7 linked regions of the Rattus norvegicus genome follow. The protein of the gene in region 5 interacts with the protein of the main gene of each other region in a pairwise test. Links are inferred from orthologs where the notes say so. Each region holds a gene or a part of one and is shown on either strand. Other genes may lie near its edges. The genes, in order: Alg3, Tmem115, Adtrp, Use1, Creb3, Tm4sf4 and Bcl2l1.

What was found.
Region 1: the proteins of Creb3 (region 5) and Alg3 interact in binary tests that used the Homo sapiens proteins (3 or more experiments, as listed by UniProt). The link is inferred for Rattus norvegicus from reciprocal best matches to the Homo sapiens genes CREB3 and ALG3.
Region 2: the proteins of Creb3 (region 5) and Tmem115 interact in a two-hybrid assay, tested with the Homo sapiens proteins (2 studies listed by BioGRID and IntAct). The two-hybrid records come from large-scale screens. The link is inferred for Rattus norvegicus from reciprocal best matches to the Homo sapiens genes CREB3 and TMEM115.
Region 3: the proteins of Creb3 (region 5) and Adtrp interact in a two-hybrid assay, tested with the Homo sapiens proteins (2 studies listed by BioGRID and IntAct). The two-hybrid records come from large-scale screens. The link is inferred for Rattus norvegicus from reciprocal best matches to the Homo sapiens genes CREB3 and ADTRP.
Region 4: the proteins of Creb3 (region 5) and Use1 interact in a two-hybrid assay, tested with the Homo sapiens proteins (3 studies listed by BioGRID and IntAct). The link is inferred for Rattus norvegicus from reciprocal best matches to the Homo sapiens genes CREB3 and USE1.
Region 6: the proteins of Creb3 (region 5) and Tm4sf4 interact in a two-hybrid assay, tested with the Homo sapiens proteins (2 studies listed by BioGRID and IntAct). The two-hybrid records come from large-scale screens. The link is inferred for Rattus norvegicus from reciprocal best matches to the Homo sapiens genes CREB3 and TM4SF4.
Region 7: the proteins of Creb3 (region 5) and Bcl2l1 interact in a two-hybrid assay, tested with the Homo sapiens proteins (2 studies listed by BioGRID and IntAct). The two-hybrid records come from large-scale screens. The link is inferred for Rattus norvegicus from reciprocal best matches to the Homo sapiens genes CREB3 and BCL2L1.

Annotation. Positions count from the first base shown.
Region 1 is NC_086029.1:93,803,544-93,807,692, reverse strand, and holds the start of Alg3 (dol-P-Man:Man(5)GlcNAc(2)-PP-Dol alpha-1,3-mannosyltransferase), read right to left. Parts: upstream 2,801-4,149; 5' UTR 2,783-2,800; coding exon 2,587-2,782; intron 1,096-2,586; coding exon 996-1,095; intron 899-995; coding exon 751-898; intron 657-750; coding exon 496-656; intron 99-495; coding exon 1-98. Other genes in the region: Eef1akmt4 (EEF1A lysine methyltransferase 4), read left to right, coding at 3,664-3,859. UniProt on the Homo sapiens protein: Dol-P-Man:Man(5)GlcNAc(2)-PP-Dol alpha-1,3-mannosyltransferase that operates in the biosynthetic pathway of dolichol-linked oligosaccharides, the glycan precursors employed in protein asparagine (N)-glycosylation.
Region 2 is NC_086026.1:117,084,975-117,088,905, forward strand, and holds the start of Tmem115 (transmembrane protein 115), read left to right. Parts: upstream 1-1,131; 5' UTR 1,132-1,664; coding exon 1,665-2,515; intron 2,516-3,931. UniProt on the Homo sapiens protein: May play a role in retrograde transport of proteins from the Golgi to the endoplasmic reticulum. May indirectly play a role in protein glycosylation in the Golgi.
Region 3 is NC_086035.1:23,145,809-23,149,308, forward strand, and holds part of Adtrp (androgen-dependent TFPI-regulating protein), read left to right. Parts: intron 1-3,181; coding exon 3,182-3,316; intron 3,317-3,500. UniProt on the Homo sapiens protein: Hydrolyzes bioactive fatty-acid esters of hydroxy-fatty acids (FAHFAs), but not other major classes of lipids. Show a preference for FAHFAs with branching distal from the carboxylate head group of the lipids.
Region 4 is NC_086034.1:18,071,664-18,075,963, forward strand, and holds Use1 (vesicle transport protein USE1), read left to right. Parts: upstream 1-1,500; 5' UTR 1,501-1,508; coding exon 1,509-1,643; intron 1,644-1,937; coding exon 1,938-1,987; intron 1,988-2,062; coding exon 2,063-2,141; intron 2,142-2,261; coding exon 2,262-2,414; intron 2,415-2,932; coding exon 2,933-2,945; intron 2,946-3,273; coding exon 3,274-3,301; intron 3,302-3,554; coding exon of another isoform or gene 3,555-3,557; coding exon 3,558-3,729; intron 3,730-3,951; coding exon 3,952-4,134; 3' UTR 4,135-4,153; downstream 4,154-4,300.
Region 5 is NC_086023.1:62,612,316-62,616,451, reverse strand, and holds the start of Creb3 (cyclic AMP-responsive element-binding protein 3), read right to left. Parts: upstream 2,801-4,136; 5' UTR 2,644-2,800; coding exon 2,467-2,643; intron 2,382-2,466; coding exon 2,225-2,381; intron 2,151-2,224; coding exon 2,080-2,150; intron 1,975-2,079; coding exon 1,885-1,974; intron 1-1,884. UniProt on the Homo sapiens protein: Endoplasmic reticulum (ER)-bound sequence-specific transcription factor that directly binds DNA and activates transcription. Plays a role in the unfolded protein response (UPR), promoting cell survival versus ER stress-induced apoptotic cell death.
Region 6 is NC_086020.1:143,754,928-143,758,860, forward strand, and holds the start of Tm4sf4 (transmembrane 4 L6 family member 4), read left to right. Parts: upstream 1-1,133; 5' UTR 1,134-1,466; coding exon 1,467-1,640; intron 1,641-2,341; coding exon 2,342-2,431; intron 2,432-3,933. UniProt on the Homo sapiens protein: Regulates the adhesive and proliferative status of intestinal epithelial cells. Can mediate density-dependent cell proliferation.
Region 7 is NC_086021.1:161,761,976-161,766,071, forward strand, and holds the start of Bcl2l1 (bcl-2-like protein 1), read right to left. Parts: upstream 2,801-4,096; 5' UTR 2,735-2,800; exon of another isoform or gene 1,360-2,734; intron 1,294-1,359; exon of another isoform or gene 1,276-1,293; 5' UTR 1,164-1,275; coding exon 600-1,163; coding exon of another isoform or gene 309-599; exon of another isoform or gene 1-308. UniProt on the Homo sapiens protein: Potent inhibitor of cell death. Inhibits activation of caspases. Appears to regulate cell death by blocking the voltage-dependent anion channel (VDAC) by binding to it and preventing the release of the caspase activator, CYC1, from the mitochondrial membrane.

The sequences.
Region 1 (4,149 bases), on a different chromosome or scaffold from region 5:
GCTTGGGGAGGGCGCCACGGAAGCCGAACTGAGTAAGAAGAAGGAATAGCAATCCTGGGGCGAAAAGGAGCACGTTCATCTTCACCGAGACGGCCAGGCTGAAATGGACAGAGGACAGGAAAGGCGGAGGATCAGCTCCAGGACTGTGTGGCCCTCGGAACAACACCCACCTCCCAAGAATTTCTCCCCAGGCTATTAAGTGCCAGGATGTGGTCTCCATCCAGAACTGTTAGGGGAGCATAAGATGGCCTGAGAGGAGGCTGGGAAGAGGAATAATACCTGGTCCCTCTGTCCAGACTAACCGGACACGTACTGACTGACATACGAAACAGGAAGAAAGCAAGAGGAAAGAGGGCCTCTCTACAGATCCTGGACTTGTTCAGGGAGGCCCAGAGTGGTCTGCGGTGTCTAACCGCTCTCGATGGCTTTCCTTGCAGAACATCGGGGAGCTATGGACATGTGAGGGAGGGGTGGGGGGTAGGAAGAGGCTCTGACCTGAAACAGCAGCAGCCCCAGCTCCAGCGCTGCGCCAGGAAGAGGTTGACGCTGAGGAAGAGCAATGCCATAGCTACCGGGTCGTTGAAGAGCCGCAGCACAAAGATGGAGTGGACACGGTAAGAGGCACAGCACATGAAGAAAAAGACGAAGGGAGGCACCTAAAGGGTGGGCACCGAGATCAGCTCCCCACACCTGAGCTGTCCCCGCCACCCGTTTCAGGCAGGGCCAGCTGGTCCTGCAGCATCAACTCACCTTGGAGGTCTGGTGGTATATCAAGAAAACAAGCACCAAGGTGACAAGGTAGAGTACAGCAAAGATGTTCTGGGCCGTAGGGATGTCAGTGCCCCGGTCCGTAGCATAGTAAAGCCCCGTAAAGATGTACAGAAAACCAGCTGGGTAGCTGGAAGGCGAGAGGAAACATGAGCCGAGGTCAGGGTCATCCGCCTGGTACCCACCCGGCCCTTCACAATTTCTTCAGACTTCCTATCCTCACTCACACAAGAGGTCCGGTGTCACCCTGCAGCTGTGTGTAGTCATATGTGCCATTGATGAAACCCTCCACCTGGGCCATGTAGGCCTTCCAGTCAATCTCTGTGTCTGGAAGAAGATAACATGGTCTTGTTCCTTCTGAGTCCAGAACTGGTCTACCTCTAAACCCCATGCCTTCAGACCACCAAAGCCCAGAGTTCTACCTTATTCCCAGGTTTCTTCCATCACCATCCCTTATCTAACTGCACATAGGGCATTCTCTGGGTGAACCCATATACTCCGTGTGTGTCTGTGTACACACGCATGGGAAGTCCAGGAGTTGACACTGGTGTCTTCCTCCATCACTTATAACAGAGTCTAGCTAGTCAGTTTGCTTCAAGGATCCCTTGTCCTGTCTCTCTAATGCCGTGGTTACAAATGGACCACCAAGCCTGCCTGGCATTTATGTATAATACTAGGAATCTGAACTATGGGTCTCACACTTATATGGTAAATACCACCCACTAAGCTATCTCCTTAGGCCCATGAATACAGGGGTCTTAAACTCAATGTGTAGAATTGAATTTATGATCTTTCTTCCTACTGCAAATTTAGTCTCTTTGCTGTGTTCCTCAAGTATTGAGTAGTACTTCTCTCCTTTTCAGTTTGTGTGTCTGTCTGTCTCTCTTTCTCACTCTCTCTGTGGTTTCATGAGACAGGGCTTTTCTGTGTAGCCCTGGCTGTCTGGCTGTCCAGGAACTCAAGTGTATAGACCAGGCTGGCCTTAAACTCACAGAGATTTACCTGCTTCTGCCTCCCAAGTGCTGGAATTAAAGAAGTGTGCCACCACCACCCGGCTCCTTAGTTCTTAAAAGGAAATAGGCTTGCTGTCTTTGTCTTGTGTGTGTTCATATGCACATGTGTGGGCACACACATAAGTGAGTATGAATGCATGTGAGTATAAATGTGGAAGCTAGAGGTTAATTCTGATTATCTTTCTTGAATATTCCTCATTCTCATTTTAAAAACAGGGTCTTTATGAAGCCAGTTGTGGTGTCCATCTTTAATCTCAACAACACTCAGGAGCCAGAAGCAGGCAGATCTCTGTGAGCTTGAGGCCACTGTGGTCTACATAGCAAGTTCTAAGCCAATCAGGGATACTTAGAGAGACCCTGTTTTTGTTCTTTTTGTTTTTCAAACAAACTGATTCTGGAAGACACCAGTACCTAGTGGACTCAAATAGTCACAAAATGCCATTCTTTAAAAGGACTTCCAGGATCTAAGAATTAAAAGTATGGAAAATCAGATCTGGCGTGGGAAGTGACTGTCTAAGGGAACAGACAAGCAGCAGGAACAGCAATAGCACATTAATCCTGGCCGAAATTTACTGCTCGGCTGCTTATGCTTTCTTAGCAGGCTGAATGTTAAATGCAGGTGGTAATCTCTAAGGTCACCTCCCTCCCATATGGAAGAGAGCTTATGATCGCTGTTCTGGAAAGTGGGCTTGGTTGGGTAAAGGATATAGGTTTGAATGGTGAACGAAAGCTCTGTAATCTAGTTTGGCTCAGAGGTTTGGGTATCGCTCCCTCCCTCCGGTTTTCTCCCCTTCGGTGAACTCACATGCCACCCTGTGAATGACCCAGAAGGTGATGCCCACCTCTGCTAGGCAGAGGCAGGAGGCCACCATCAAGGTGTAGCGAGGCTCCCGCAGCAGTAGATAGCGTTCTTGCCAGGCCCGCTGTAGCCATTGTTTCCAGATTCCTGCCGGCTGGACGACAGAACCCGGCAGGCCGCGTTTCCGCAGCCCAGCAGCCATCTTGACAGTGCACCACTCTTGTGCTTCCACCACCCGGGAAAACCAACCCTAAGACACTAGGTTCCGGTCTCCGCTCTGGGCGTCCTCTCAAACGATCCGAGTAACCAGAATTCTTATTTACTGCATAGCAGTCTGCTAAATCGACTCAAGGCGCTGAAGTTTCTAGGTCAAAATGATTCACTGGATACATATTTAGTGCTTCTTATATATAGTGGTGAGAGATATTTCTAATGTGGATATGTGGACCTCAATAAGGGTAAGATAGCTAGTCCTTAGAATACATCTACACGATATTGTAATATAAATATACATATACTTCTCGGTGTATGTCCCGTCCAGAGCGCATAAACGCCACTATATCAGTGTTTGTCCAGAAAACAAAACAGTTCTGTTCTCTTCTCCAAGCCCAGCTTTCTACTCGGCCTATATCCAGAGTAATTGTGTTTACGCTAGAGCGGAAAGCTCCTTTCAGCATTCCTCCCGCCTTTCCGAAGTACCCGAAGGTGCGCCAAAAATCTTGGGAAGAAGGGGATCTTTAATTAATCACGCCTCTTAATTGAAAGGGTTATTGAGAACCAAACACGAGAGGACGCCAGTGATGAGCCTGGTCACATCTGGTGACCAGATCTGGTCTGCCACGAGGAAATGTGGTCGAGTTGAGATGGGCAGTACGTTAATAAGACGACAAGTAATTCAGCTTTCCAGCCGGACGATTTTCAAAAAAGAGCTCAGAAAATGACGGAAGTTCCACGTGTTTGTGTGGAGCAGCTGCAAGGGTTGCGGGGGGGGGGGGGGGGGCGGAGACACAGGCTCCGCCTCCCATTTCTTACCTCGGTGATTGGGCTCCTAAGCTCCGCCCTGGCAGCCCGGCAGCCGGGAGCATGGCCTCTCCCCGGACTCCTGTGTCCCCTCCGGAGTTACCCGAAAGGAACTTACAGTACCGCCAAGTCCAATACTGGGACCAGCGCTACAAAGATGCGGCCGACTCCGGACCCTACGAGTGGTTCGGGGACTTCGCTTCCTTCCGTGCCCTCCTAGAGCCGGAGCTGTGTCCTGAGGACCGTATCCTCGTGCTAGGTGGGTAGTGTCCCAGCCACGGGTCGCTGGCCAGACCATATCCGCTTTCTTCCCTTCTGCTTTCTCTTATACAGGACTCCCCAGTTTGGAGCCAAGACCCAGTACCTTCAGAATCCGTCTGTATTTAGCCAGGGCAAACAGAAATAAGAGATCGTCAGGACTCTGGAAAAAAAAAAAAAAAAACAGTCCTTTGGTGTCTCAGCGAGGGGCATTACCCTGCCCCAGACACTGGAGACAGCCTAAGACACCGGAGAGTACATCTCTGTGGACCTACTTCAAGTCCCAACATT
Region 2 (3,931 bases), on a different chromosome or scaffold from region 5:
AAAATAGCTTTTAAATAAATCTCAAACACCCTGCTGATAACCACTGTAAGCGTAAAATTGAGCCTAGGCCAACCTGGCACTTACAGAGAGACTTATAAATAATCTTTTTTCTTTAATGTTCATTGGTGTTTTGCCTGCATGTGTGTAAGGGTGTCAGAAACCCTAGACCTGGAGTTACAACTATGAGCTGCCCTGTGGTTGCTGGGAATCGAACCCGGATCCTCTAGAAGAGCCGTCAGTGCTCTTAACCGCTAAACCATCTCTCCAGCTCAAGGGAGATTTCTCTGGCAAGTGGAATCAAGTGGGAGAAGAGTCACTGAAGCAGCACAGCCTTGCCCCTTATTCCCCCTGAGATGGAAAACCTAAGTTCATGTAGCAAGTACAGTTGGCTGGAATCAGGGCAATGTGAACACCCAACACAACATGGCAAGTCGTTTACATAGATAGCTGCCTTCTTTGATCCTTAAAACTATAGTAAGAGCCTGCCATCGCCATCATTTTTAAAGATTCATTTATTTATTATATATAAGTGCACACCAGAAGAGGGCATCAGATCTCATTACAGATGGTTATGAACCACCATGTGGTTGCGGGATTTGAACTCAGGACCTCTGGAAGAGCAGTCAGTGCTCTTAACCACTGAGCCATCTCTCCAGTCCCCATCATTTTTAAGGTTCGTGAAATTGCACTTCAAAAATGTTCGGGAACTTGATCAATATCACATTAACTACAAATGATGGAACAAGGGTTCTGGCCTGCCTTGGGCTCCATTTGCCAGACGACAGGATTTCTGGCTAGTTCACGCGCATTGATACAACACATCAGAACCGTTCACATTCTTTTGTACCCGCTTACAAAAACATTGCTGTACCTGTACAAGTCACAAATAGAGCCAATCTCCTCCTCCAAAGAGTGCAGCAAGTGTGCGGCCCAAGGCGGCGCTGCCTCTTGAACCCGGCCACTCAATGCCTTGCTTTCCGAGATCAGGAATACTGGTCTCCACTTCCCTAACTTCTAAGAACTAGAGGAATAAGCACTGAAAACTACAACTCCCAAGTGCCCTAGCCTCTACATTCTACGAGACCTGTTCCGTGCACGGCTTCTGGGACTTGTGGTTCTATGCCAAAACCGGTCGGCTAGGTCTCAAGGACTCCGTATCCCAGCATGCCGAGGAGCCGGAAGGCAAGAGCTCAGAGGGCGTACAGTCGCGGCCGCCGGCGGGGGCGCGCAGGCGCGGCGCCCCTGTTTGTCCGCCCCGGAGAGGGGAGGAGGTACCGTCAAGTCAAAACCTTAGCCCAGCCGGAGCTAAACGGGCTTGACTTGAACTGGAACAAGGCATCAGTCCCGGCAGATCGCAGAGTCTCAGAGTGGATGGAGGAAGCCCAGCCTTGAGATCAACGCTAGCCTGGCCGCTGGGCCGACGGAACCGGCAGACAGGCGTGCCCAAGCCACCCAGGGCCTAACGTCAGGTCCCCGGCAAGAAGGCTTTCTCCTCGCTTTGGAACTACAGCCGGATCAGACCGGAACCAGAGCCGTCACACGGAACAGAAGCCAGTGAAGTAGCCGGGCCCGGGCCTCCCGTCGGGGCCGAACTGGGACGAGGCCCCGGGGAGGCCCCTAGGCCACCTTCCTCACCTTCCCTCAAGCCAACGCCCGCCAGGAAGATGCAACGCGCCCTGCCCGGTGCCCGCCAGCATCTGGGGGCCATCCTGGCCAGCGCCAGCGTGGTAGTGAAGGCACTGTGCGCTGTGGTACTATTTCTCTATCTGCTTTCCTTCGCTGTGGACACGGGCTGCCTGGCCGTCACCCCAGGCTACCTTTTTCCACCCAACTTCTGGATCTGGACCCTGGCCACCCATGGGCTCATGGAACAGCACGTGTGGGACGTGGCCATTAGTCTGGCCACAGTAGTTGTGGCCGGACGATTACTGGAGCCCCTCTGGGGAGCCTTGGAGCTGCTCATCTTCTTCTCGGTGGTGAATGTGTCAGTGGGGCTTCTGGGGGCCTTCGCCTACCTCCTCACCTACATGGCTTCCTTCAACTTGGTCTACCTGTTCACTATTCGTATCCACGGCGCCCTGGGCTTCTTAGGTGGTGTCCTGGTAGCGCTCAAGCAAACTATGGGAGACTGTGTGGTTCTGCGAGTGCCCCAGGTCCGCGTCAGCGTAGTTCCCATGCTATTGCTGGCGTTGCTGCTACTCCTCCGGTTGGCCACACTGCTCCAGAGCCCGGCATTGGCTTCCTACGGCTTTGGGCTGCTATCAAGTTGGGTGTATCTTCGCTTCTATCAGCGGCACAGCCGAGGCCGAGGGGACATGGCTGATCATTTTGCTTTTGCCACCTTCTTCCCTGAGATCCTGCAACCGGTAGTGGGACTGCTAGCGAACTTGGTGCATGGCCTCCTGGTGAAGGTGAAGATTTGTCAGAAGACAGTGAAGCGCTACGATGTCGGAGCACCATCGTCCATCACTATCAGCCTCCCAGGCACAGACCCTCAAGATGCGGAGCGGAGAAGGTACTAGGAACTTTTCCAAATTCTTGACTAGCTAGACTATTGGTGTGGCCACATAACCAGGCATTGAGGTGTTTGCACTACGTAGGCTGGAGAGCCACGGACAGGTGTTAGGGGTGGCTTCGACAGGTGTTAGGGGTGGCTTCCGAAAAAAGGACTCAGGTTTTGGCCTTGAGGGAACTCAGTATGTAGGTTTTTGGGCTCTAGTGTGTGTTTCTCATAACTTGGGCCACTTAACCTGTCTGCAGAACACCCAGTCACCTTTGGTCTTGCCTCAGGATTTCCAGATTCTAAGCACTGGTTCTGTGAGAGACAGAAACTGTTGGCCCTTTTCTCCTGTGATAGGAGATGGGGAAGGATGTCTTTGTCCTTAAAGTCTTTCCCATCTTTTTTTTTTTTTTTTTTTTTAGTTCTTTTTTTTTTCGGAGCTGGGGACCGAACCCAGGGCCTTGCGCTTCCTAGGCAAGCGCTCTACCACTGAGCTAAATCCCCAACCCGTCTTTCCCATCTTAATGCAGGACGGTTGGGGTATTACTAAATTCACCCCCGTTTCAGACGTGTCACCAAATAGAGGGAACAGGCCGTATGACCCACTGCAGGAGCCTACTGACCACACGGGGCAGGTCAGAGGCCTTTGTGTTACCTACCAGGCAGCATCTGTAGTTTTACTACATTACTCGCTGGGCACTTTGGCCAAAACAGGAGAAAGCTTTTTGAATTCAGGCCTTACTTTCTGAGACCTGTGGACTCTTTACAGTGTTCCCAGCTCCGGGGAGATCCACAGTTCTGTGTCCAGTGTTACTCCTGAGACTGTCCAGGAAGTTTCTCAGCAGCCTTATTCCTGAGCATTTGTCAAAGGTCCCTGCTTCTGCTCACCTGTGAAAGGGGTTCCTGACCTCAGTGGAAGAGCTCTCTGCTTCTTCTCCACTGAGACTGTAGAGCTGAGTGTGGCCCCTTCCTTGAAGGGGTTACCAGTTGGTGGGTGTGGGAACACAGCCAGGGCATGCTGCAGGCCTGATTCTGGGCCCACGACTTGAGTGTTGGGGGAATGTCCTGGATACGACTCCATCTCGACCTTGCTTAATAGGGGCAATGGGCTGGGGGGCTGAATTTTTGAGGGACAAAGCTGCCCTTGAAGCTGTTCAGATGGGACTGGGCCAGAGCTTGCCCTTGTCCCAGAGAGAAATCTTGCATTGTGACAGTTGGTTGGTCATTCAGAAAACCTCTATCCTCGATCAGGAAAAGGAAGAGTGGGAATTGGCCCAAGACGTGGGTTTCCGGCCCAGTCTGAAGGTTGTTAGCTCACATGGGGTGGCTAATACTCTGCCATACAATTTGTCGTCCAACTGCATGCCACTCTCAGACCTAAAGGACTACAAGGAGAAAAGAGCATTCCACAGAGGTCTCTGACCCTGTGAC
Region 3 (3,500 bases), on a different chromosome or scaffold from region 5:
AGGCAGCAAAGGGCTGAGTATCTGGAACTGAAGTATCTGGAACTGCAAGAGTATCTGGAACTGAAACTAGGGCTGAGAGCTATGTGAGATGGGGAGAAGGCTGGAGAAGAAGCAACTTCTGATATCCGTGTGCAAATGACTTCATACTCAGAACTCTACAGCTCGTGGGCTTTGAGCCAAAGGCACCAACAGTTAGGGCTAAACATTCTTCAGGGAACCTCTGATAGCATTTAGAACTGTGACTCTTTCCCTCCTTCCCACACCTACCCTCTGCCCTTGGGAGGCCTCCTCCTCCTAGAGGAACCTTTGGACTCTCACCCAGTCTGTGGGTCTACCCCAGAATCTGCCTCTGTGACCTTGAATAAGCCTTGCCTCATCCTGTGCCTCACCTGAGGTAACTTCCTGGCATTTGTTCCCTGCTCACAGTTCCCTCAGCAATTTCATTCCACCTGAGAGGACTGACTGACTACCTAGGTCTTCTCCCAGCCTCGTCTCTCTGTAACCACTTGATAGTTGTATTTCCAAGAGGAGGTTTTACTGGACAGGTAGGCTTCAGTCTCGGATACCTAGGATCAGCATTCCCCAGGGGTATGGCTAGGGAAGAAGGCTCAGCTGGTCAAGGGCCTGAGCACAAACACCAGAACCAAACTTCCATCTCCACCATCTACATGTAAGGCTAGTCATGGCGGCATGACCTTGAAATCCCAGCACAGAGGAGCTGAAGACAGACAGGTCCCTAGGAATTGCTTGCTCACCAGCCTAGCTGAGGCAGAGAGTCCCAGACCCCAGTGAAGAACCTATTTCGAAACCCAAGATAGATGTTGTCTCCTGACCAAGGTTGATCCCTGGCTAACCCTACCACCGCATACCCAAAAGAAAACAGAGCAATCTTGGGAAGATTTATAAACCCTAATACCTGAGCTGTGTCCCCTTAGGCCCATTAAAGGGGTAAAAACAGCACAGTGTTTTTGTTTTTTTGTTTGGTTGTTTTTTTGTTTTTGTTGTAATTTATTCTCCTAGCCATATAGAATTGTTTCTCCTCAATTCTGCTCAGGAAATCTGATGTTTCTTAATTCCGGCTCAAGAACCAGAAGCCTTGGGTTATAAACTTGCAAGTTTATTAATCTCTCTTTAGCCCATTTTTCACATCTTTAAATGGAGCTGAGAGATTAATCCTGACACATCACTAGGACAGTTGGGAAACACAAGCGAGTCTTGAGTCTGGCATAAAACAAGCCAGGACCAAAAGTCAACTGGAGTCAACTGTTGGAGTTGTGAATCCCTGGTAAAGACCATGAAGGATGGATGTCTAATCCAGAGGGTTCTGCCCACCCAAGGACCCCATAGAGTGCTTGTTAAAAAATCACCGCTTACACCTCCTTCTCAGGGGCTGTGATTCCAAAGTCTGTGGGCAGAGAAGAGTCCCAGCTTTCTGGGAAGCTCCAGGCAGTGCACTTTCTGCTGGTCTGAGAACTCAGCTGCCAATCATGGATCATTCGTTTCTCCCCATCCCCCTCCTGCTCATTCCTCAGCCTAGGGAGTGTCCTGAAGTTAACTTTAGATCCTTGCTCAAGTCTAAACTTCAGACACTGTTCTCCAACAGCCAGCTCAGATCAATTATTAACCCAGCTCCCCGGGTCCCATAAATCTCCCTTCTCATACTCTAGGCTAGAATCCAACAGCCCCTCACATGCCAAGGCAGAGCCTCTAAGAACTTATATGACTTCTAAGGCAAACATACTTCGAATAAACCCAATCTTTGTATAGCCAGCACCCACCAGAGCTTAAATTAGCAGCCATAACATTACACAAAACACACAAGGCTTGATTTCTAGGCCCTGCTTACTATCCTGAATCCAAAGATCTGACAATTGACTCTAAAAATCAGAGTGTCTTGGTCACAAGTATGATGTTGCAAATAGAAAATTTCACACAATCTAACTTGATTTCATGCACGAATCATTATTAAGAGTATGGTACAAGGTTACCTTCAAGCTATTTTTAAGAGGCGAACATAAAATATGAATTAATTTTGTTTGCATGCATGAATTCTCTCTTCATTATGAGTCAATATTCTAAAATCTGGACAAAGAAATCCTCAGTCCAGAGTACTTCTAGTGCCAAGCATTTAGGATAAAAGGCTTCAATCTTGCTGACGTGAAAGGGGTTCTACTTCTCTCCTGCTTTGCTTCAAGCACCTCACAGAACTCAGCAGCTGCCACAACTCCTGCACTTGCTTCCTGGATCCCATGATTTAAATCCTTCCAATTATCAGATGGCTTCCCTACAGCCTTCGGGCAGCGCCCTGTAGGTAGGGGCTGTACTGGTTTCTCACTCAGAGTACGGTGTCATGATGTGCACTTTCTTCAAATGCCACAGAGCTCCATCCTGGTGTTCATGACCCTCATTATGACTTTCTCAGTGAGAGTTCAGTGCGTGTGTGTGTGTGTGTGTGTGTGTGTGTGTGTGTGTGTGTGTGGTGTATGTAAAAGAGAGAATATGTTCATGCATTCATGCGTTTATGTGCACATGTGTGGAGACCAGAAGCCAACTTTATTTCACGAGTTTCTTTCTTTCTTTTTTTTTTTTTTTGTGGAGGTGGGAGGGTGGGACACCTTTCTCTGCCCTCACCCCACAGTGCTGAGGTTACAGAGTTACAGACATGTGCTGCACCCCATCCTGCTTTTACGTGAATACTCGGGATCTGAACTCGGGTCCCCAGGTTGTAAAGTAGCCATTCCACTGACTGTTGTTTCTGCCACCCCCTAGGCTTTTTTACCTCCATTATCTTTCCCTAGAAGGGACTCCCGACCATGTCCCACTGTGCCTAGCCCTTCACCCTGAGCTGTATATTTGGTTCTTACCTCTGTGCAGCTACGTATCACAGCTCATTACTTTCTCTGTTTAAACTCTATTTTGTTTCCATTTTAGCCGAAGACCATTAGACTAAATACTGTACACACTATTATCTCCTAAATGAATTTCCTCAATCAGTTTTAGTGTGCAAGGGTCAAGGCCCAGTGAGCTGGAATCCCAGCCCTCAAATTGGCTCTGCACCCAAACAACCCGGCATCTCCTCCTCCTCAGGTCCACATTGCTCCCAGAGGGCTGCAGCCCTCCATCAGGGAAGGATGTATTAATTAAAGCCAATGAAAACACTCATTTATTGTAATGAATTTAGCTCTTGCAGGCCGTTTTCTTTGGGGTCGCCTGCCTGGATGATGTGCTAAAAAGAGTCATCGGAAGGAAAGACATCAAGTTCATCACCTACTTCAGAGATCTGCTTTTTACTACGCTGGCTTTTCCTTTATCCACAGTAAGCGCCCAAATGTTTGTCCAACACCATCATTTCATACAATGGATGGATGCTTCTCTTGGAGCAAGGTGGTCTGGAGACTGATTGCTATAACCAGAGCATCTACATTTCCACAGTTTCTGTCTCAGAACTGACTGCATTGGCTAGCATCATCAGGGAGTGGGGTAGTTAGCAAGTGAGGTTA
Region 4 (4,300 bases), on a different chromosome or scaffold from region 5:
CAGAAGAGTTCTTACTGTTCTCTCAGAGGACACAAGGTTTCTACTGCTGTGAAAAGACATCATGACCATGGTGACCTTTATGAAGGAAAACATTTTACTTGGGGCTGGTACACCGTTCACAGGAGCTGGTTCACAGGAGTTTAGTCCATCATCGTCCATGACGGGAAGGATGGTGGCACTCAGGCAGAAGTAGCTGAGGATTCCACATCTGAATCAGCAGGCAGCAGAAAAAGGACTGTATGCCAGTAAGCCTAGTTTAAGCTTTTGAGATCTCAGAGCACACCCCGCCCCATGGTGCACTTCCTCTGTAAACCACTGCCTATGGGGCTCATTCTGATTCAAACCACTAGCAACAAGGTTCAACGACCAGCACCACAAACCTTAGAGTCACCATAACTCCAGTACTTGGGGTCCAGTATCACTTTTGTTTTTTAAGGTTTAAATAGTTCTTTAGAGACATGATTTCTGTGTAGCCCTGGCTGTCTTAGAACTCTGTAGACCAAACTGGCCTTGAACTCAAAGATACACCTGCATCCGCCCGAGTGCTAGGACTAAAGCCCCACCCCGACCCTGCCCAGTTAAAATGTATATGTTTGTGTGTCTGTGTGTTGGTGTGTGCATACGAAAGCATGGGAAAAGTCAGAGGTGTCAAATCCCTGGAATCACGGGAGGTTAGCATCTTTTGTAAAACTGCTCAGGACTGAGACAAGCTTGTTTTACATTTCTAATGCTCAGAAGTCACATGAGAGTGAAGAAAGAGGTGCTCAGTGGCTGAAAGCACATACTGCTCTTGCAGAGAACCTAGTTATTAGCTCACAACCACAGTAAATTCAGCTCCAGGGAATCCTAGCTTGTTTACTAATTCACATGGCATTCCCTGAATTTCTCAAGGGCTACATTCTTCAGGAAGTACAATATTCTCCATCTTCCGGGCCTCAACCCTGTAACAGAGTACATTTAACCTAAGATGAAGCAGAGTTGCTGGTAGCTAAGGAAGACGGGGGCCATGGACCATAATTTATGACAGAAGAGTGGAAACAGCCAGGTCAGAGTTCGGGATGCTGGCAGCCAGGACTGGAAACTAGCAAGTTGGCCAGATGAAAACGTCCGACTGGCACCTCATCAAGCAGGGTCGGGGGAGGCCCCATGTCAGGGCTCCCGCCTCAGAGGTAGAAAACATGCGCACTGAGCGCGGAGGCGAGGTGAACAAGCGGAATGTAATGGTCGGCGAGCAAAGATGAGGAATGGCTTTTCCGGTCCTGCCGTCCAGTTCTTGCGGGACATGATTGGTTGTTCAGGGTCTGGATAGGCTACAGAAACTCTGCTTCAAAAAATGAAAGAAGGCCAGATATCAAGCCACAATTTTAAAAAGAGGCTCTCTAGGGACGAAAACGACTTATCTTTGAATAAACTGCGGCTTGAAATAAAACTCCGCCCCATGCGTAGCAGGGCGGACCTCGGAGGGGGAAAAAAAAAAACCCACGCAGGCACTTCCGCCCCTTTCTAAGATGGCGCAGGCGGAAGGGGCCTGTCACCGTCCGCTGGCGACGTCGCGGCTGGAGTTGAACCTGGTGCGGCTGCTTTGTCGCTGTGAGTCGATGGCGGCCGAAAAACGAGAACCGGACGAGTGGCGTCTGGAGAAGGTGAGGGAATCCCACGCCGCCGCAGAGTCCTGGAGCCCTAAGGGCGGGTGATCTAATCCACAGGCTACTGTCTCCGCCCCTTCTGGTCGGCGGCGACACGCCCCTCGTGCGTAGACCCCTGACGTCCCGGTTTCTCTCCCTACGGCCTCACGCACAGGCCACGCCCTCTCGATTCTACGTCTTCGCCTTTGCCCCCTCCCCTCTCTGGCTCCTCCTCTCCCGGTCCCACCCCTCTCCCTAGTTTGCTCCTGCCTTGGGGTACTGGCCTGGCTGACGTTGTACCTTCCTTCCCAGTATGTGGGTGCCCTGGAAGACATGCTGCAGGCCCTGAAAGTCCAAGCAAGGTGAGTGTGGGGGACCGAGACGCCTCCTCCCACGCTGCCACAGCAGCAGGTTGACTTTGTCCTGCTGCTTTTCAGTAAACCGGCCTCGGAAGTGATCAGTGAGTACTCCCGCAAAGTGGACTTTCTGAAGGGCATGCTGCAGGCTGAGAAGTTGGTGAGCCTGCCCTCCCATCCCTCAGGCGGGCCTCACTCAGTTTCCCACATCTCCTAGGACCAGGACACACACACCCATACTCCCCCAGTAACTTATTTTCCCCTTCCCGTGTCTCCTCAGACCTCCTCCTCTGAAAAGGCTCTAGCTAACCAGTTCCTGGCTCCTGGCCGCGTGCCCACCACAGCCAAGGAGCGGGTGCCTGCCACCAAGACTGTACATTTGCAGTCTAGAGCACGTTACACCAGTGAGATGCGGAGTGAGCTGTTGGGCACGGTACGATTCCCTCCCTCGTCCCTGGATAGCTAAGAGAGTAGTTTTCAGAGGGTTAGACTGGAATAGTACCACAAACCCTAGAGGGCCACAAACGATGAGGCTCCCCTAGGAAACCACTGTGCTCAAGAAGAGTGGTTGGCTGGGTGGTGATAGTGCATGCTTTGAACCCAGCACTCAAGAGGCAGAGGCAGGCAGTGAGTTTGTGAGTTTGAAGCCAGCCTGCTCTACAGAATGAGTTCCAGTAATCAGGGCTACACAGAGAGACCTTATCTTACAAAAAAAAAAAGAATGGGCCATGTCTGGTTAAACCCCAGAGTAGCAGAGTAGGCCCCACAGCTTACAAGAGTCTGCCCAAAGCACAGAGAGAAAGGGAGAGAGGGAGGGAGGGAGGGAAGGAGGGAGGGAGGGAGGGAGGGAGGGAGGGAGGGAGAGAGAGAGAGAGAGAGAGAGAGAGAGAGAGAGATTGATTTAGAAAAGACATCAAAATATGCATGGCCTCATTCCTCTTCTTCCTTTAGGAGTCCTCTGGAGGTGAGACATGCAGGACACGACTGTCCCTGCCACCCCGCAGCCCTCATGCCTGCCTGGTTCCCTTGTTCTTTCCCAGCCCAGGAAGAGTCCCCCAGGGTCATGTCTGAGTTATGCCTAAGGGGAAGCTGAGAAAGAGAGGGTGGTCCCCAGCACAGTGCTAGGCCACTGAGAGGGACCTGGGGCCAGGGTACACAGTTCTGGAGCGTGGGCAGCTAGCAGCTTGCACGCAGAGCAGCCTTCTGCTTAGCCGGGTGGCACAGCTCAAGGCCGGGAGTTTGGAAACAAGAAAGCAGCCATCTTCTTTGTTCTTGGCCTCTTTTGCTTCCAGAGCTGGAGGCAGACATGAGGAAGCGAGTGTGAGTATTCGGCCCCTGGCGTGACAGGGAAGGGAAGTGAGTGGCTGAAGCTGGGGCCCCTGAGTTGCTCTAAGGACCAGCTGCCTGCTGGGAGTCCTTTCTGGGGCTGCGGTTCCCAGACTGTGAAAGAGCAGGGGAAACTGAGTCCCCAGTAGAACTGAGGGTGGTGCCATGGCCCTGGGATCCTTGGGAAGTGCCATGTGGATGTCTATATCTCCCTGTCACTACTGGGGATCCACAAATGTGGGGTCAGCAGTGTGAAGGGGCCTAGACCTGCAGATGAGAAGCAGTCAGCGTCCGAGCTAGACCTCGTCCTCCAGAGGCACCAGGGCCTCCAGGAAAAGCTGGCTGAGGAGATGCTAGGCTTGGCCCGCAGCCTGAAGACCAACACACTGGCTGCCCAGAGTGTCATCAAGAAGGACAACCAGGTGTGGTGACATTGCAGCCTCTGCCTCAGGGCACTAAGAAAACTCTGCAAAAAAGGGGCATTGTGACTGGTGTTTTGCTGGTTGAATAGGAGTTTGATAAAGCCCAGAGGGAGGGGGTTGGCTGAGTATACTTGGCCGAGGGCACAACATGGGCCAGAAGCACAGGCTACTCAGAAGTCACACTTGGTCTCAGTCCTGTTGACACAGTCCCTTTTCCCACAGACCCTGTCACATTCGCTCAAGATGGCAGACCAGAACCTGGAGAAGCTGAAGCTGGAGTCAGAGCGGCTGGAGCAGCACGCACAGAAGTCGGTGAACTGGCTGCTGTGGGCCATGCTCATCGTCGTGTGCTTCGTGTTCATCAGCATGATCCTGTTCATACGCATCATGCCCAGACTGAAATAAAACAACACCCGCCCGCCAACCCGCACGCCTTCAGTGCCAGCGCGGGGTGTGTGTGAGAGAGAGAGTGTGCAAGTGAGTGTGTGCGAGTGCGACTGTATATGTGTGTGTGAATGTGTGAGTGTGTGTGAGTGTACGAGTGTGTGTGTGAGTGAGTGTGAGAGTGACT
Region 5 (4,136 bases):
GGTGTGTTGGATGGCAGCTAACCTTCCCAATGAAATTCTCTCCACAGCTTTTCTGCCAATAGGCATTCACCTTCTGTGTGGACATCTCCACAGGACACGTGTCCAGCACTTAAAAGCCAGAGTTTTCTTATTTTTATGTGTATAGGTGTTTTGCCTGCATGTCTGTATAATGTATATGTATAATGTGTGTGCCTGGTGCCCACACAGGCTAGAGGACAATGACAGATCTCCTGGGACTGAAGTTACAGATAATTGTGAGCTGCCATGTGGGTGCTGGGACTGGAACTCACGCCCCACGGAAGAGCAGAAAGTGCTCTAAACCACTAAGCCATCTTTACAGCTGCCAATTAATTTAAAAAGTTCCTCCTAAGCTAGGTGTGGTTGTACATGCCTGTAATATCGGCACTTGGGAGGAAGAGGAAGGAGGTCAGGATTTCAAGACCATCCTTGGTTAGGGTAGTTTTCAGGACAGACTGAGTGAACTACAGAAGACTATGTCTCAGAACTAACAACTACCACCATCCTTATCCTAAACCCACATCAATCTTCTAGTTTCCACCCATTGGATTTTCCTAGGCTCTCTAGAATGATATAGAACATCTTTATCTTAAGTACTTTAAACTCTTTTTTTTTCAGAAATTAAAACTGAATAAAGTTAACTCTCATAGTCTCTGATAATGCTTGTCAAACCTGGACAGTAGCCAGGAGTGATGTCATACACTTGTAATCTGGTCCTAGGAAGCTAGAAGCAGGAGAACCAGGAATTCAAAGGCATTCTTTACCTACGACACAGTGTGAGGCCAGCCCAGCCTGGGCTTACAAGACCCTGCCTTACAAACCAGGGCTGGAGGGCGTAGCCAGTGGTAGAGCACTTGGTGAGTATTCCAGAGGTGCTATATTCCAATCCCAGGGGTAGGAGAATTATGGTATGCTTTGGCCAGTGTAAAGGAGGACAAGACAGTTACTGTCCTAGGGACGGAGCCACTATTGATAATTCCAAAACTCCATTTTCTTTCCTATTAACTACTATACTGCTCATTCATCTCGTAATGGCAGGAGAGGGATAGGAGAGGGTTTATCATGTGGGCCAGGCTTGCTTAAACTCAACATGAAGCGAAGTCTGGCCTTTAACTCCTGATCCACCTGTCCCAAATAAGTCAGTACATACATAACAAAAGAAGTAAGACAATAAAAGGGGCACAAAAACTAGATGCAGTATGCTTTCACTTGGGAAGTGACCTTGAGCGTGGGAGGACCTTCCTGCCTCTGCCTCTAGGGTTATGGCAGTGTGAGCCCCTCAAGTCCAGCTTTGTTACAACTTTGTTACAGCTTTGTAACAACTATTGTTGTTAGACTGCTTCAGCCTCTCCAGCATATCTACTCTACCACTGAGCAAAAGGCGAAGTCCCAAGATAGCAACGAAATCTGTCAAGGCCATCATTTGAAGGCCCTTTCAAGGCTCTGTTCTAAAGTTACTCTACATTTAAAAAATTATCTTGGGGCTGGGGATTTAGCTCAGTGGTAGAGTGCTTACCTAGGAAGCGCAAGGCCCTGGGTTCGGTCCCCAGCTCCGAAAAAAAGAACAAAAAAAAAAAATTATCTTTTGTACATGGGGGTCTCTCCTTCCATCACGTGGGTCCTGGGAGTTAAGCAAGGCCTTTTCCTACAAAGCCATACACTGATAATTTTGAAAGGAACGCCAAAATGTATATCAGCGCCACAAGACCAGGATCTACCCTGGTATCTGCTCGTCCCAGGTTCCCACTATCAGCTTCCATTCTGACCTCAGTCCTTTTGTAAGTGATCGATATGAAATAAACTGAGTTTGCCTACTTGGGTTATACAATCCCCCTCCAGCTTTTGCTCTACTACCAGAAGCCTTACCTTAGTGAGAGGAAGTGTTGAGGGCAGAGTGAGCCCCTCCTTCTCCAAAAGCCTTTTCTCTTCCTCCGTCAGTATCAGTGTAGAAAGTTCCTAAGGTTGGAGGAAGAGAGCAGAGTTGCATGGTGATGTCAGAGCAGTATGGGGGATTCTTGGCCGCTGCAAAGTGAGGTAATCCTGAAACACCAAGCCCAGTACCTGCTCTGCTGCTGTCTCCTCCACACGCAATGGATTCATGCGGAACCCCTCCTTTTCAAAGCTCCCAGGATCTGCAAAAGCGAAAGTAGGGCTAGCAAGTTCAGTGAGCTCTCTCTTTCCCCATAACTTAACATTTCACACTCACCTAGATCTATGGAGACGTGCTCCTGTGGAAGGGAATAGTTGTGATCATGGAGAATAGAAGAACTAGAAGAGTTGAGAACATCCGGCGATGACGAGGGACTGAGCAGAGAGCTCAGTAAATCCTCTACCTCCCAGTCGCTCAATTCTTGCACGGAGTTCTAACAAAATCAAAGGCCTTGTTTTATCTCTGTACCTTGGGTCTCAGGGACATCGCTAGCTTCCCCACTCAGAACACCCACCCACCTCGGAAGGCGACAGCTCCAAGTCCAGGGGAGTCTCTATGTCCTGCTCAGTCGCAGCCCACAAATCTCCACTTTCCTCTAGCAGGAAGCCCAGCAGGTCCTGATCACCAGGATCCAAAGCTAGCAGGTCCTGATCACCAGGATCCAAAGCTAGCAGGTCCTGACCACCAGGATCCATTTGGAATATTTATGGATAGAAACTCCTCTGCGCAGATCCAATCTCCGAACCTTAGGCACGACCCCTCAGTCTGTCAAGTCGCATCGACTTAACCTTAGTCACTCCCGGACCAGGGCCTAGCTGTTACTCTATATGCCACACCCGCCTCTCAGCTTCTATTCCCCTCAGCGTCCAACATAACGGAAGTGATGCACATAGTCCCGTGGAATCCTGGGACTTGGAGTTCCCTCCAACTCGGAAGTGGCTTGTGTAGTGCGCCACGTCCCAGGGGCTATGCAAATTATGGGGATGTCCCTTCAGCTTCCCACGCCCCAGGGCGGGGATTCTGAGGATCCGGATCCGCCTTCGCCGCGAGCTATTAAAAAAACCCTAAGAGTCTAAAAGGGAACTCCCGTTTAGTTCGGGCGTTCTCTCCAGTGCTCTGCACCCTCGCTTCCTGCCGGGGAGGGGCGGCCAGGCTTCGCGGGAGCCCGAGCATCGAGAGCTGCGGCCAGAGCAGCTTCCTGCAGTCTCTGCGACCATAGAGCGGACCGCCGGCGGGTGGGGGACGTTTCCAGGACGGAAGTGGACGAGAGTGTGTCGAAGGGAGGGCGAGGCCGGAGCCCCAAAGCGACCGGGAGAACGAGCGGGTAGCGGGCCCAGGGCGGGGCGCAGAGCTGGGCAGCGCAGGTAGGCCGGACGGGCTGGGCTGAGGTTCTAGGTGGGGCTGCGGGATCAGGCCGGCCCGGGAAGCGGCGGGCGGGGCCCCCAATCCTCTTGCATATCCTGTGTCCGGTTGGGGAGGTCAGGGTACAGTACGTTTCAGTTTAGGTTTGAAATTAAGCCAGCCGTGTTGCGAGAGACAGGCCCTTTTCGCGGGAGTAGACAGTTCTCTGTCTCGGATAGTTTTTGGGACGGGTAGAAATGGGGTGGCAGTGAGGCATTGGGCGGGGATGGGCTTTGGTGTTAGCCGATAGTGAGTATGTGGTTAGGAAAACTTTGGGTGAGTTTGAGTTAGGTGCGTCGGGTTTAGGAAGCAAGGATCCCATTAGAAGTTAAGAAGCTGGACTACATTTTAAACATGCATGAGTCAAGTCTCTTTCGTGTTTGTGACATTTAAACTGAGGTCATTATTTTCTGGAATGACCAGCATAAGTCAGTGTACAGGATCGGGTTAAGGATCAACAACAGGAATTGGCTTAGAAGCTCGTTTCAGGGATTAAAGGCCATTGTCATGGTCAGTATTAAGAATAAACAGTGAGAAGGTGAATTAAGAATCAAGGTAGAAATGAGCTTTAGGACTGGGGAGAGGGGCAGTATTTAGGGTTAAAGTTAGGGGATTTGGGCCTAAAAATAAAAGCCAGATTAGTATGGTTGTGTGCTAGGAAAGGGGTAAGTGTCAAAATATAGGGAATTAGGATACAAAATAAAGTCAGGATTAATGTTAGGAATTAGTGATAGCATCAGAGTCAAGGCTGCAGCTACAGCTGAACAGGTAAAATGTAAGAAGTTGG
Region 6 (3,933 bases), on a different chromosome or scaffold from region 5:
ACACACACACACACAAATACTCATTTGTACTTGAGATTTTGCAGGCATTCAGTGACTACTTCCTTTTGTTTTCTTGTCTCACACTGACCCCGAGTTCTCTCAGTGGGTATTCAGGACAACCAAGGCACATTTTGTAAACTCTCCAGGAGGAACCTCAGTGTCTGCCTCCCCATAATCCTTCCCACATCCATTTCCCCTGGACTGTGGTCCCAGAGACTTGGCAAAGCATAGTCCACTGTTTCCTTGGTCATCTCTGTCAAGGAGCAAGTGCTCCATGACAGTTATGAGTCAATTGGGTTCTGTTGTTTTGTTTTTAGCAACAATTCGAGCCCCTAAATACCTTACTTACTGTCATCAGTTTTGACCTCTAGACTGTCAGTAAGGAGCTAGACAGGATCTGTCCCCACCCCCATCCCATACTGCTCTGGCTGATTCATCACACAATACCCGGATAAGTCAGTGCATCATGTGGAGCTGGTGTAGGTGTGCCTGAGACATCCTAAGAGACCTAAAGCAAGCCAATAACGCAACTGTGCTCCTGAACAGGCGGCCAAGCCTCCAGTGCGGGTGTATTTTCCTTCCTCCTGATTTCTAGCTGCCTCCAGTCTCATCCTCTCTGCCTCCATCAGCATCTAGCTTCTCCCAGGGCTCTCCTCTTGCTCCAGTACACACAGGTTTCTATTTCTGTAGGAAGTAACCAAACAACCCAATTAGAAAAATCGGTTTTGCTGATTCTATGATGTGGTGGGAAGAACGTGGTATTTAATTGCCTAATTGAGTAAACAAGTAAAGAAATACAGCAGTCAGGCAGTAAAGTAAATAGCTGTTCTGATTTTGTCCTTTAAAAATCCCAGACCTGAGTTTAGCAGTATACAATAAAGCCATGAAATTATTTTTCTATTAAGGAAAACAAGCCCATCTGGATATGCCGGTGTCTCAGGCTTTCCGTGAACAAGACCAAGGAAGAGCTGAGCAGATCACTTAGTGTTTGGGAGGCATAACGTTAATCAGGATATTAGTGGATTATGAGAGTGATGTAATACCTAGGGAGTACTTCTTTATTTGGGCAGAGACGTTATGAAATTAAAGGGGCAGTGCTGAACACTGCCTATCCCAGCCTTCTCTTCAATTGCAGCAACTCGAACATCTTGTCTGTGCTGGTGGATTATTAACAGAGGTTATTGGTCTCCATGGCAAAACAACTGAACGATCGCGCAGAACGTAATCTCATTTATGGGGTGCAAAAAAAAAAGACATTGGGTCAGGGATATAAATGCCCATTGCCACTGAGGGCCTGCTATAGTTCAGAAGTGACTCCACGGTTCAAAACGCTCTGACATTTTGGTCCCAAATTTCTTACTGAACCAGGTACAGCCACTGCAACGCGCTGCCAAAATCCCTGAGGAGTCCTGTGAAGCTGGTGGTGAGGAGCCTTTGATCTCTGTGCTTTACTGTGCCACCCCAGCATGTGTACTGGGGGCTGTGCCAGGTGCCTGGGGGGCACCCTCATTCCCTTGGCTGTGTTTGCCGTCCTGGCAAATATCCTGTTGTTTTTTCCTGGAGGAAAAGTGGTGGATGACAACAGCCACCTTTCGGATGAGGTCTGGTACTTCGGAGGAATACTGGGAAGTGGAGTCTTGGTGAGTAGAAAGACCTTAGTCCCACAAAGGAGAATTCCCCCACTTTCATCCGCTTCTCATTCAGTCCTTAGAGCATGGGATGCCATTCTGAAGCTAATAACCTTTTGTGTGATGAAAAGTAGTGCCTTAATATACTTCCCCTTTCTATTCGTGGCTGAGGACAGCTTGGTTTACTAAGTGGTTCACCCCTAAGCCTGGGCTGGAGTCACCCTAGGACATTTGAGCCCACAGGACCAAGCTAACAGCTACCTGATTGCTTTACTTCAGTCAGTCGTGGCAATAAGAATTAAAAACAGAACACGGTGCTTTATACAAATGGATTGACTTAGAATGAAGAGATGCAGAAGCTCTAGGTTAGCCCTCATTCAGGAATCACTGCTTCTTCATCGCCTTGTTTCCAATATGGGTGGGACCTCTAGCTCGTACTAGAGGGACTCACTTTCTATACCCTGAGTATAAATTTATCCTTGCCCTAAACGCACCCTGTAAATGAAAACTCAGCATATCAGCTCTTAAAATCTCCTCACAGAAGTTGTCCAAATGGAACCCCCATACTCAAAACCCCCTGTCTACCCATGAGCCATACCAGCTGTTAGGTCTTGCCTGCCCCCTTAAGCCCCTGAAACCTGAGGTCTTCACTAGCTAGAAAAATATGGGTTTCCCTTCATGCCAGACCCTCTAAGTGCTTCTCTTGCTGGCAGATGATCTTCCCTGCGCTGGTGTTCTTGGGCCTGCAGAACAATGACTGCTGCGGATGCTGTGGTAATGAGAGCTGTGGGAAGCGATTTGCGGTGAGTCGTTATGGGATCAGCTGGCAGAATAGCTGGGGTTCGCTGTTTGTGCTGGGCAGCACGGGTGTGCGAAACAAATAATCAGCCCCAGCCAAGACTCCTGGGTCATCTAGTATATGATTAAGCTCTAATTCCCACTGATCAGAATAATAAGAATAAAACATTAAATTCTACAGCCTTCATAGAGCTGAAGATACATTTAAGTTTTACAAGTACACGGAGATGCCAGAGCCTTAAAACCAGAGTGAGGCCCCAGAAGGAGGGCAAAGATAGAGCCACAGGTTTCCCTCTCTGGCTAACTAAAAAGACATGAGAACGTCACCAAGTCATATCCTTCTTCCAGCCCTCAATTGCCTCTTCACTGAAGGAGACCAGAGCAAGTAAAAGAAAGGGCACTCTTTATGGAAACTGTATTTCCTATTACCATTCAGAATCAGCCTCAGGATTTCAGCCTCTTCTCCTTTTTTCTTGTGGCCATCCACCTTTTTGTTGGTGAAGTGGAGACTAGGGAGGTATTAATGCTTCCAGGGGCGCAGAAGGAATGCTGGAATGTGAGTCAGGTCCCATTTCTGCAGCTGGGCAAGACACCAACTGTAAGATAAGCAAGTTGGACTGGATCAGAATTCCCTAGATATGGGCCAAACCCTGGTACAAAGATACACGTATCCAAACAACAAAGAATGTTTTCTTTTACTTATCCCCCAGTTGTTTTTATTTTATGAAGGAAAGAAATCCTTATTTTGATGGGGATAAGCCTTTGCTGTTTCTAAACCTTCAAACTTCCTTTGCAACAAAGGACGGACAACCCAAAGCTCTAGAAACTCAAGGGGCACCTGACAACTAAAATTTAATAACACCATCTTTGTGTTTGCTAACAATTTCAACTTTTTTCAAATTGTGATACAAATTAGCAAAACAGTTAGCTTAAAAACTATCAAGCATTTGGGTATGAGATGAGTCAGAAATATGATGGTGGTAGATCCTAGGTTTGATAAAGAATAAAGGATTCTCCTCTCCAGCTTCCCAGGATTCCTGTTCCCGTCAAGGAGACTCCCAAGCCCACTTTAAATTCTTGAAAGTCTGTCTACCCATTCTGAAATTCTTGACATCTCCTTCTCATAAACATTTGTTGATTTAGTACAGAAAGAAGGTATCTAGCAAGCACACATGAAGGGCTGCTGTGCTCAGTATATTATAGATACACTGCAGTTTCTCGTGTGACGTCACATCATTCAGAGAATATTCACCTTCTAAAAAGCCATCACGGATACTGAAAATAGTCCTTTCAGCATTCAGAATGATCATTTGCGAAGAGTGTCAGAAGTAGCGACAGTTCATTTGAGATAACTATGTGTTAAATGTTCTAAATACTAGATATTATTTTCATTTTGACTATAAAGGAAAGGAAGTGCTATATAACTCTTTCCCGTCAGAGCATTTATAATTTGTCAGTTTGGAAGACATACCAATTTGAAAACATACCAATTAAGGAATATGGATGA
Region 7 (4,096 bases), on a different chromosome or scaffold from region 5:
GCAGTGAGGTACAAAGTCCTGGGGCACAGCAAGGGCTCCCCAAACAAGCCAACCATGGTGAAAATGAACTTAGGGGCACAGCACAAACACAATTGGCTCAGACCACCTTCTCTAAAATCAGACAATATTCAGCCAGTCAAGCCAGTGGGGCTCCTGCCTGACCAAATGGTCTGAATAGCATGCATGCGAGCACACAGGAGCCTGGGGTTATCAGCTCTGCAGTTCCTCCAGGTATTATATTCCTCCCCCCAGCCAAGGTGACCCATTACGTGAGAGTGAGCAGAACACAGGGAGAACTTGCTACTCTCCTAGGTTTTAAGCCAAGTAAACACACAGGCTGTTTTTCTTTGCCGAGAAATTGGAACAAAACTATGAAACTGCGGGGCCACAAGGGTAGCCAGAATGAAAAATACAGGTTCCTTAAAAACAGGGTCATCAATATTCCCAAAGTTAACCCCTGGTATTAAAGTGAAGCCAGGAATGTCTCCTGAATAATCGATATCTTCAACAACCATGCCAGGAGACCAAAAAGGGCAGTTAGGGATCTCCACAGAGGAGAGACACACAAGGGGCGGACACACAAGGGGCGTGGTTCTTACCCAGCCGCCGTTCTCCTGGATCCAAGGCTCTAGGTGGTCATTCAGGTAGGTGGCCATCCAACTTGCAATCCGACTCACCAATACCTGCATCTCCTTGTCTACGCTTTCCACGCACAGTGCCCCGCCAAAGGAGAAGAAGGCCACAATGCGACCCCAGTTTACCCCATCCCGAAAGAGTTCATTCACTACCTGTTCAAAGCTCTGATATGCTGTCCCTGGGGTTATATGAAGCTGGGATGTTAGATCACTGAATGCTCTCCGGTACCGCAGTTCAAACTCATCGCCAGCCTCTCTCAGCGCTTGCTTCACTGCTGCCATGGGGATTACCTCCCGCGCATCCAAACTGCTGCTGTGGCCAGTGGCTCCATTCACCGCGGGGCTATCCGCCAGGTGCCAGGATGGGTTGCCATTGATGGCACTGGGGGTCTCCCTTTCTGGTTCAGTTTCTTCTGGGGCTTCAGTCCTGTTCTCTTCGACATCGCTAAACTGACTCCAGCTGTATCCTTTCTGGGAGAGCTTGTAGGAGAGAAAGTCAACCACCAGCTCCCGGTTGCTCTGAGACATTTTTATAATAGAGATGGGCTCAACCAGTCCATTGTCCAAAACACCTGCTCACTCACTGGGTCTGCTCTGTGTTTAGCGATTCTCTTCCAGGATCCAAAGCCAAGATAGGGTTCTGAAGAGAGAGAAAGAGCTTCAGGAGAAAATTTTAATATGCATGTCATTTACCTTACAAAATCCCCATTCCTCCCCCAGTTACCAGAATTGGTTTCTTTGTGGCTCTTATGAAGGTCTGAGTCCAGGTTCTAAGAGACTTCAATGAAGTCAAATTGAAAGGACCAGCAAGCTTTGAATTGTTTCATCAGCCTCTTTTTACTACAACCACCCACCCCCTTTTCTCCGAAATGCCTTTCTCCAAAAGTCACCCCCATTGGCACATCCCCACCACCACCACCTACATTCAAATCTATCTCCGGCGACAGAGAGCAGGTGCAGCCCCCGGAAGGTCTTTTGTATCATAGGTCGGGAGGAGGTGGTGGCTGGGTCGCCGGTAACTCAGCAAAAAACCCCGGTCCCGGCCGGGATCATGCGACCTGGTAGGCAGGCCAGAGGAATTGCGAAGCTTAGGAACCTGCCCCCTCGCTTGCTTCCTCCATCGCCCAGATCGAGGGCGGCCTCTCTGCTCCGCAGCCTCCAGCCACCCGGGAGCCCAACCCCCTCGCTCTAGCACGCCCCTTGGCTCTCGCCTCCTACTGGGAGCCAGGAGAACTCTCCCGGAGGTATGGGTTTAGTGTAATTTCCCCCCACCCCTCCTTTCTTTCTTTCTATTTAAGTACCAGCCCTGGATGAGGCTTCCGAAACCCTAAAGGGACTTCTCAGTGAATCTCAAGGTTTCGCGCAGGGACGCGGGGAGGGGGAGACGGCCTCGGATCTGCGATCTGATTTCGGAAAGACCACTCCCGGGCCTTTCCAAGAGGAGTAGGCTGGAGACCCCCCACAAACACCGCTAGTTGTCTTTGAATTCCCCAAAGGCTCTGGACATAGCACTGGGGGACTGCCAGGTCCTCCATTCCGCGCCCGGACACAATGGCCGCCGGCACCCCGCACAAAGACGGGGTGAGAGGGAGGCGCTGAGCCCCGCCACTGGCCAGGAAGAAGGGTTGAGGCTCCCACAGCGGAGACCTCGTTTTCTTGAGACCCGACCCAAGGCGGCCTCCTGGAGCCCCCTGCAGGGCTCCAGGACCGGAGGCCGCTACGCGTTGGAGCCCCGGGTGGGTGGGCTGAGGCCTCGCTTACTGCTCGCGCTCCCCTAGGCCGGGTACCCGCCGAGCCACCGCCCCGTTGCTAGGCAACCGCCCTCCCTCAGGGGCGCCCCCTAGACCTCTCTGGAAGGAGGGGTCTCGCCCCCGCGGCCCGCCCCAGCTTAGCCAATCCGCGGGTCGAGTCGGCACGGAAGCGGGACGGCCAAGGCTCCCATTGGGCGAAGCGCCTGTCAGGCACAGGGGAGGCGGCGCCCTCACCTGAGAGCCCAGCGAGCCGTGGGGGGCCACATCCCCCCTTCATCGGCCCAGTGGCTTCCAGATACGAGGGCGTTTTGCGGCTGGGAAGTACGCCGCGGACTTGGGTTGGCCTACCTGGCTGACTGCTCGTGCCGAATCTCCCGGAGAAGCCGGCCTCAGTTTCCCCTGAAGAGACCGGGGGAACTTGCAAGCGCAGTCACTTCCGGTGCCGCGGCAGCGCGCGCGAGCCCGAGACGCAAAAGGAGTGCGCGCCAGGAGGGACTGGCGTTGAGACGTGGGAGAGCAGCGCCCCCTGGCGAGCGATTTGAGGAAGCGCAGGCGCATGGAACGCTAATGGTTCACATTCCATCAATCTAGTTCCTTCATCCATCTATCCGTTTGTATACTACAGAAAAAGTGCTTTTTCCTGGGTGTCCGACATCGGACAGGTTTCCCAACTTGTGTATTTCCCCCCCTCACTTTACAAATAGACAGCAGCATTGACCTTTCATTGACTGTGTATCGATATTACTTGAAAAGTCTGAAGACTAGAAAGCCTTTGGATTGTTGAAGACGGTTATGAACGAGGCAAGGCAAGGTCTCTGTTTTTGTTTTTTGTTTTTCTTTTCCTTTTTTCGGAGCTGGGGACCGAACCCAGGCCTTGCGCTTGCTAGGCAAGCGCTCTACCACTGAGCTAAATCCCCAACCCCAAGGTCTCTGTTTTTATGAAGACTTATACCTTAGGGGTGGAGGCAATATCCAACTAGGAAAATACGCAAGGTAAACTCTAAGGGGAGAAAATCCTGACATTGTGATAATCATGGTGAAACGAGATTTGCTTTAGAGTGAATGAGTGAATGATCCTTTTAAAAATGCAAACCCCGGGGCTGGGGATTTAGCTCAGTGGTAGAGCGCTTACCTAGGAAGCGCAAGGCCCTGGGTTCGGTCCCCAGCTCCGAAAAAAAGAACCAAAAAAAAAAAAAAATGCAAACCCCGACTCTGGCTGGCCAGTGCAGTAGAAAGACATTTATTTACACCATCTCGAACTATGTAGCATATGTTTGTTTGTGAGCCCAGCCTTTAACAACTGAGCCACCTCTTCTGTCTCGCTATTATACACAGTTTTTGTGTTGCTGGGGATCAAACCCAGAGCTTTGTGCATGGTAGTCAGGCTTTCTACCGGATAACTCTAGCAGTAACTCAGTTTTTCAAAAGTTTATTTTATTTTGGGGTATGTGCACGTGAGTGTGGGTGTGTATGGGCCACCATGTTTATCTGGAGGTCTGAGGACAACTTTTAGGAGTAAATCGTGTTCAGGAGTGGAACTCCCATCCTCAGCTGGTGAGGCAAGTTCATTCTTCTTATACGGGGTCTAGTTATGTAGCTGTTTAACTTGGGCTGCCCTTGACCTTGAACTCATAGCAGCAGTTCAGCTTCTGTGGACTGAGAGCTACTGGGATCTCAGCCTCCTGGTGTGCAGATGTCCACAACGTACCA